2 linked regions of the Canis lupus familiaris genome follow. The protein of the gene in region 2 purifies or fractionates together with the protein of the main gene of each other region. This does not show direct contact. Links are inferred from orthologs where the notes say so. Each region holds a gene or a part of one and is shown on either strand. Other genes may lie near its edges.

Evidence for each region.
Region 1: the proteins of NCOA4 (region 2) and ferritin heavy chain purify together in Homo sapiens (co-immunoprecipitation; 6 studies listed by BioGRID and IntAct, counting the BioPlex papers as one, with this or other methods). This does not show direct contact. The link is inferred for Canis lupus familiaris from reciprocal best matches to the Homo sapiens genes NCOA4 and FTH1.

What each region holds. Positions count from the first base shown.
Region 1 is NC_049239.1:55,066,978-55,071,156, forward strand, and holds ferritin heavy chain, read left to right. Parts: upstream 1-1,355; 5' UTR 1,356-1,534; coding exon 1,535-1,648; intron 1,649-3,033; coding exon 3,034-3,180; intron 3,181-3,492; coding exon 3,493-3,618; intron 3,619-3,717; coding exon 3,718-3,882; intron 3,883-3,883; 3' UTR 3,884-3,973; downstream 3,974-4,179. UniProt on the Homo sapiens protein: Stores iron in a soluble, non-toxic, readily available form. Important for iron homeostasis. Has ferroxidase activity. Iron is taken up in the ferrous form and deposited as ferric hydroxides after oxidation. Also plays a role in delivery of iron to cells.
Region 2 is NC_049249.1:1,952,189-1,955,775, forward strand, and holds part of NCOA4 (nuclear receptor coactivator 4), read right to left. Parts: intron 1,809-3,587; coding exon 1,654-1,808; intron 175-1,653; coding exon 34-174; intron 1-33. UniProt on the Homo sapiens protein: Cargo receptor for the autophagic turnover of the iron-binding ferritin complex, playing a central role in iron homeostasis. Acts as an adapter for delivery of ferritin to lysosomes and autophagic degradation of ferritin, a process named ferritinophagy.

The sequences.
Region 1 (4,179 bases), on a different chromosome or scaffold from region 2:
ACCTTCCTTCTAGCTTTTTCTTCAGACTTAGCTCAACTGTCACTTTCCTAGGGAAGCCTTCCCTGGCCTTCTATCCCAGACTGGATAAGGCACTCCTCGTCTACACTCTCCCACAGGCTTCTGCTTATTTTATTTTATTTTATTTTTGTAGTTTTAGACCTAAAAAAAATTTTTTTTTCCTGAAGGTAAAATGTTCATTCCGAAACGAAAACAGTAGAGACCCAAGAAAGAGATCACCAGAATTCCGTCAGCAACGAATTTTAACATTTTAGAGCCTGCCTTCTTTTTGTTGAGGTTGCGAAGTTCAGCTTAAGGTTTCATGTTTGTGAGCGTCCAAAGGGCCTCGGCGAGGTCTCCCAGCCGTGCGGAAGGACCTGGTGGCGAACAGTGGAGCTGGAAGCCGGCCGACAGGGCGGGCGCCTGGAAGGAAGGGACTCGGCGGCCCTGCCCTGCCCTGCCCGGTCCCGTGGACACTGTGCCCACCGGCCGCTCCGCAGGGGCAGCCCCAGGAGGTGGCTCCCCGGGAGATCTCCTCAGCTTGAGCCGGCTGTGGCCTGACCCGGGTGCGCCAAGGCAGCCGTTCCAAGATGGCTCCGTCTCCAGATCCCCAGTGGCTTCTCCTCCCTTTTCTAACCCGTCCCCGGATCTTCTCAGAAGCCCCGGGGGCTCGTCCCTCACGGCTCCCCCTCGAAGGCGCCCGCTCACCGCATCTCCCCGGGAACCACGGCCCGCCCAGCCTCTGTCGGGGAAGCTGCACCGGGAGCCATGTTGGCGAGGGTCGGGGACGGCCCCCGGGACCCCAGCCCGTCCGCGTGTCGCTCCCGGCCGGACCCTGAGGAAGGGAGAGCGAGCCCCTCCCGCCCCACCTCTAACTGACGCAACCTCCTAGGGCTCCCACTGCCACTTTCCAGGTGACGCCCGAGGAGATCCCCCCGGGTGTGGTAACTGCTGCCCCGCCGCCCGGACTTTTAACCTGCCCCCGGGGCAGGATGTCTCGGGGAGCCCGCCCGGACGGCTCAGGGGACACGTGCCGGCGGCTCCCAGCCCCGGGCGCCGGGGCTCCGCGCCCGACCCCGACCGCACTTCTTCCCCGCCCCCCCCCATCGCGGGAGCCGGGACGCCGAGGACACCCGCCCCGCCCCGCCCCGCGCGCGGCCACACGCCCGCCGCCTCAGCCCGCGCGGGGCCGCCCCTCCCCCACCGCCCCCAGGGCGGGGTCGCGCGCCCGCCGGAAGAGGCGGGGCTCCGCGCGCGGGCGGGCGTCTTGATTGGCTGGAGTGGGCGTGACGCCCGATCCCGCTATAAGAGCGGGGCCTCGGCGGTCTGCGCCAGTCTCCGCCGAGAGTCGCCGCGGCTTCCTGCTTCAACAGTGCTTGGACGGAACCCGGCGCTCGTCTCCCCTCCCCGGGCCCGCCGCTCAGAGCCAGCCCTCGGCCACCTCCACGCAGCGCTCTCGGACCGCCCCGAGGCCTCCGCCGCCGCCGCCCCAGCGCCGCGCAGCCGCCGCCGCCGCCGCCTCTCCTCAGCCTCCGCCATGACGACCGCGTCCCCCTCGCAGGTGCGCCAGAACTACCACCAGGACTCCGAGGCCGCCATCAACCGCCAGATCAACCTGGAGCTCTACGCGTCTTACGTCTACTTGTCCATGGTGAGCGCCGCTCGGCTCCGGGCTCCGGGCGGCGGGGCGGGGCGGGGGTGTGGCTGACGCTTGGGCCCTCCCGCCCCTGCTCGCCCTGCTGGAAAATGGACGCTGCTCGAGGCCTCTCAGGACGTGCGCAGAAACTCTGGCCGGCTCGGCCTTTCTGACGGCCCCCTGGGAGGGCTCCCTCTTAGTCAAGGGCCGCCTCTGCGCGCCGCTTCGTATTTAGAGAGAGCCTGGTTTCAAGGAATCCCCGACTTGCGGCAGCTGCAACCGGCACAATCCTGCAGTTAGGAAAGCGGGGTGTGCGTTTCCATCCTGTTCTCCGTGTCGATCACGTGGCCCCGAGGCTGTCCTTTTGCTTGGGTGACGGGGGCGAAGTGGTCCAGCCCCCGTCCTCCCTGCGACTGGCGGAGCCTGCTGGGTAATGGTGTCGAATAGCAACCGTTGGGGGCGGGGGTTGGTGCTCAGTGGCTTATCTCCCGGGGGCCGACCACTCTGGAGCAGCCATCGCTACCCGCTCTGTTCTGCTTATCGCCCAGTCCCACTTGAAGCAGGGAAATCTCCCCTTTTGCGCACACGGTTGTCTTAGTCATCCGTCCTCTTGCCCGGGCATTTAGTACTTTATCCTTTTGTGGCTGAACCCTTGGTTTTAGAATAAACTACACCAACAGTCACTGGGCAAGGAAACTTTCCGTGCTGATCGATGGAATCCATTTTCCAAAATCCTGGTTTTAGGCGGTGTGGTGGGCGTTTTCCTTAGGATTGCAAAAGAAAAAAAAAAAGAAAAAGGATTGCCTTACGATTGTGCAAATTATCTAAGAATAGACCTGTTCCAGATGAATTTGAAAATAGGCCTGGATTTCCGCGACTGCCATTCCATTTCAGGAACACCTGGATTCAGCGAGTGTCTAAAAACGGAATCAAGTTTTCTGTTTTCTGCTGGCAGTTTCTTTGTACAGCTTAGCGTTGCCAGCAGTTGTCACCTTGCCTAATGGGTTAATCTTAGAGATCCGTCAGTATGCTGTAAGCTGGCAAGCTCATGTTTTAACATGGGTTTAATCAGGGAGTTAGGGAGTACAGGGTAAATACTCCCACACCCTCTCCAATCAAATGCGACACTGGCCAGAAGAAGTTTGCTCTCATATAGGGCTTTAAGAATTTATCTGCTGGGGGCAATTCCCTATGATATTCTAAAGGTTCCTTGCAGTAAACTTTAAATGTCCAGGACTGCGTTTCATTTTTGTGTTTTAGAGTACAGACTAGTGTTGTGTTCTGTCCAAGAGCACAGCCTGTCCGCGGTCTTCAGTGCAGACTCCTTTCTTGCTGGACTTTGAGGAAGAAAGGCTAGGCTTGGCAATTCCTAACAGAACATGTTCGTGTTCTCTTTTCAGTCTTATTACTTTGATCGCGATGATGTGGCTTTGAAGAACTTTGCCAAATATTTTCTCCACCAATCTCATGAGGAGAGGGAACATGCTGAGAAACTGATGAAGCTGCAGAACCAACGAGGTGGTCGAATCTTCCTTCAGGATATTAAGGTGAACAAAACATCTTAGATCCTGTGTCTCATCTATCCGGCAAGTCCTTGGGTGTCAGAAATCCCTCAAGCTAGCAGTTGCTCTTATAAAATGAAGTACTTTTGGCTTCTGTGTTTTTTTAAGCCTATCTTCTAAGTTGAAGGAGGTGAACGGTAATGGGCACAAGGCTGTTAAGTTGGAAACCATTGTGGGAGAAACTGGGATGTCCCTCTTGCCAAAGCACAACGATTGCATGTTAGGTGTTTGCTGACTTGGGCAATAATAGGTAGAGGCTGTACGTGCATTGACCTGACCTCCTCTCCTCTCGTTCAGAAACCAGACCGTGACGATTGGGAGAATGGGCTGAATGCAATGGAGTGTGCATTACACTTGGAAAAGAGCGTGAATCAGTCACTACTGGAACTGCACAAACTGGCCACTGATAAAAATGACCCCCACGTGAGTGTTGGCAGTCTGGGAGAGAATGGAGGGAGTCATTTCCCTCTTTAGGGGTTGGGAAAGTGTACCGTTAACATTCTTCCCCATTCTGTCTTCTAGTTGTGTGACTTCATTGAGACTCATTACCTGAACGAGCAGGTGAAATCCATCAAAGAATTGGGTGACCATGTAACCAACCTGCGCAAGATGGGGGCTCCCGAATCTGGCATGGCAGAGTATCTCTTTGACAAGCACACCCTGGGAAACAGTGATAATGAGAGCTAAGCCTTAGGCTGTCTTCCCATAGCCGCAGGGTGACTTCCCTGGTCACCGAGGCAGTGCATGCATGTTGGGGTTACCTTTACCTTTTCTATAAGTTGTACCGAAACATCTACTTCTTTCGTTTGTATCATTCCTTCAAATAAAGTAATTTGGTACCCAGCTGTTGTTTCTTGAGTTCTTGGGATGGGCTAGAAATGTATTTAGTAGGTCATCTTTGTGAAATCTGCTGAGGTGTTGTAGTTCAGTCACAGTAACCAAAATGACATGCCTAGGGAGGGATTTGTGTTTTATTAAAGTCCT
Region 2 (3,587 bases):
CTCAAACCAATTATAGCCTTACAGCCACCTTACCCAGTAGAGCTGTTGGGCCTGCTGCTGAAGTGTCTCCTCTTTAAGCTGATAGATGAGATCTACCTGTTCATACAGCCACACCTCACGGCTTCGGAGGCATTCCAGATGACGGCTTATGCAGCTGTGAATCTGGGCTTTGACCTAGTAAACACATACCTATTAGCTTCACTACTGTTATAAGCCTAAAGAATGGTGAGTTTCTTTCTTTCTTTTTTTTTTTTTTTTAAGATTTTATTTATTTATTCATGAGAGACAAGGAGAGAGAGAAAGAAAGAGGCAGAGACATAGGCAGAGGGAGAAGCAGGCTCCATGCAGGGAGCCCGACGTGGGACTCGATCCGGGGTCTCCAGAATCACACACCCTGGGCTGCAGGCGGCGCCAAACCGCTGAGCCACCCGGGCTGCCCAAGAATGGTGAGTTTCTTAAACTTCTGAGGGTCACAAATCCTTTGGATTATCCAATCATATATATGGAACCTCTCTCCAGAAAAATACGTATCATATACTCAAAATTTTGCCTGTAATTTCGGGGTTGCAGGTCCCGGTAGCACACCCATGGAACCACCAAAGGCCCACAGACCCAGTTTAAGAATTTCAGCCACAAAAGCTCTAAATCCTCCTTCCATACCCCATCCATCCAAAGAGGAGCGGGTTTATTTGGGTGGCCTGAAATAATCAAGAAAAAAATAAAAAGGATATGTAATACTGATCCCCTAAGTTTTTCATAGAATTTGAAAACATATATAGTCTTACAAATTTGTCAGTGGAGTAAGATAGAAGTATTAACTTAATGGCTAGCTAGCCCTTGTCTCTTTTCTCACTCTATGAATGAGCAAGCCAGTTATATTAGGCCAATTAAATAAAGAGATGTGCCACTACATGTCAACAGCCAGAAGACCGGTGGGGCAGAGTTTAAGTAAACCTGTAAACTAAATGTTTCTGAAAGCAGAAGTAGTGATTCAAAAAAGAACAAAAATAAAAAATCCAAAGGAGAGTGCTCATTTCAGCAACATATATACTAAAAATCCAAAGGAGAGAAGTCAAAACACCTATAATTATCCATGAGAATCCGCATGAGAAACTATTTTAAAACAAAATTTTTCTATAATAAAGTTGTATTTCAAAATCATGTAATACTTGGTCTTCCCACTCACCAACAGAATATTAGGCCAAGGGAACAAAGAGATTTCATTTTGACTTGATTCAACAGATAAAGTGATTTACATTACATGCCACCAACAAAGCCATGCCACCACGAAGTTAAAAGCTGGTAGAGGCCATGATGCAGCACCATCCTTTATGCATCAAGGACACAGCTGAGCAGAATACTCATTCATTTTGTTATTTTTTTATTGATGGCAGTGCTTGGCACAGGGACCACAAAGAGGAGCAATTAAAAAATGCATGCTGAACTGAAATCTTTGAGGTGGCACAAGGTTTTCCAGACTCTTCTACCATCTGTTTAATTTCCTTTGGGAATCAAAGGCACCAACATTTCAGGCATACCAAACAAGACATGGGGTGTAACCTGGTTAGCACAGAGAAGCAAAGTCCTTAGCCATGCTCTAACCAGCCCTGTGCTAAAAACCCAGACAAGAGAAGAAAAAAGCGCACATCACACCTCTTGTAAGTTATCTTTAATTTGCTGTTCAGCCCGGAGAACTCCACCAATAGCAAGCTCCAAGTCCCTCCGTGCATCACAACACCTCAAAAGGGGTTCTCTATTACTGGAGCGGCCACTCTGGTCCTGTGAGGTACTCATTCTGCTCACTGTTCCTGTGAGAGGAAAAAAAGAAAAATCTAAATTGCACTGTAATTTCAACCAAAAACCACCTTTCAAACATGCCCCAAATGATCATTCCAATGAGCTCTCAATTACTAACTTACTTAGATCACTTCCAAAACAGGACCCGGCACATAGTGTACTCTTAATAAATACTGCTTCTTCTTCCCTGCCCACCACTACTGCATTCCTCCATACAATTCTATGCATCTACTTTAGTGATACTTTACATGTAAACAGATTATTCCTAAAAAACAAACAACCCACTAATTTTCCAGAACTGATAGGGCATATAGCCTCCAGAAAGTTAAAAGAACACTACAGTGTAAGTTTCTGTTTATGAAACACATGAAGTCATAGGGGGCATATGTTCTTGTTTTACAGATTTAGAGGTGAAGACTTAAAAGGTCTAGAAGGATCCATAATCACTCTGAAAAGCAGCTACAAACCAATAACTTGGTAAACAGTTTAGAACACTGTTTAGATCTAGCATTTACCTGGACTGGGAAATGGAAATTTTAAATTATTTTCTTTTAGGTAGAACTTTGTTTTTTTAAACTTAGGAAGAATTTAGGAATGGTTTCAGAGCTAGGAAGCTCTCAAGAGTGTAAATCTAACAAAATAATTTCATAGTATTCTAATATAAGGGAGATGCTCACAGACATTGGTGTGGGAAACTACAAAGTTTTCTAATAATCTTGGGCTTACAAGAGATAAGAAATAGAATTGGAAAGAACAGCACACAACCAATGATATACTGAGACTGAGAAGAATGTAAGAAAAACCATGAAACCAAGCTTGATAATAACTGTTGGAAGAGGGACATCTGGGTGGCTCAGTGGTTGAGCATCTGCTTTTGGCTCAGGTCATGATCCCAGAGTCGGAGTCGTGGGATCAAGTTCCATACGGGGCTCCCTGCAGAGAGCCTGCTTCTCCCTTGGCCTGTGTCTCTGTCTCTGTGTCTCTCAAAAATAAATAAAATATTTTTTAAAACACTAGAAGAAGTCTGGTGTCTATCTTGGATAGATCTAGAATCAGAGATGGTTTCTCAACATTTAGAAAAAAACAGTAATCAATGTAGCTCAGCATGTGTTCACATAGCCCTATGACACCAGAGTTATTTCCTTCTTGGACAGTTTTACTAAACTGGCCATTCAATGCAATCCTGTGGCCACAGTCTATCTGGATGCTCAACACATGATCTGTGACAAGGATATATCCTATCTTTGGGGATAAAGTGAATATGAGCTAAAAAGAAGTACAACTAAATGGAATCCGAAGATTATTTTTTACAAACAACTCAAAAAGTCACAGACTGGGGATCCCTGGGTGGCACAGCGGTTTGGCGCCTGCCTTTGGCCCAGGGCGCGATCCTGGAGACCCAGGATCAAATCCCACGTCGGGCTCCCGGTGCATGGAGCCTGCTTCTCCCTCTGCCTATGTCTCTGCCTCTCTCTCTCTCTGTGTGTGTGACTATCATAAATAAATAAATAAATAAATAAATAAATAAATAAATAAATAAATAAATAATTTTTTAAAAATTTAAAAAAAAAGTCACAGACTGAAGCCCATCTGTAAAGTTTTGAGGTATGTTTTCCCTAATTACTCACCTGTTTTCCCTAATTACATGGATAAAAACAGAAAGCAGATACGACAGTCACAGTTAACAAAGGACTTTGATAAAAACATTCTACATACCTGTAAAATGAAAATGTAAATGTTTAAAACTTGAATGGGGGATGACAAGGTGGAAGAGAATAAAGTGTATTTTA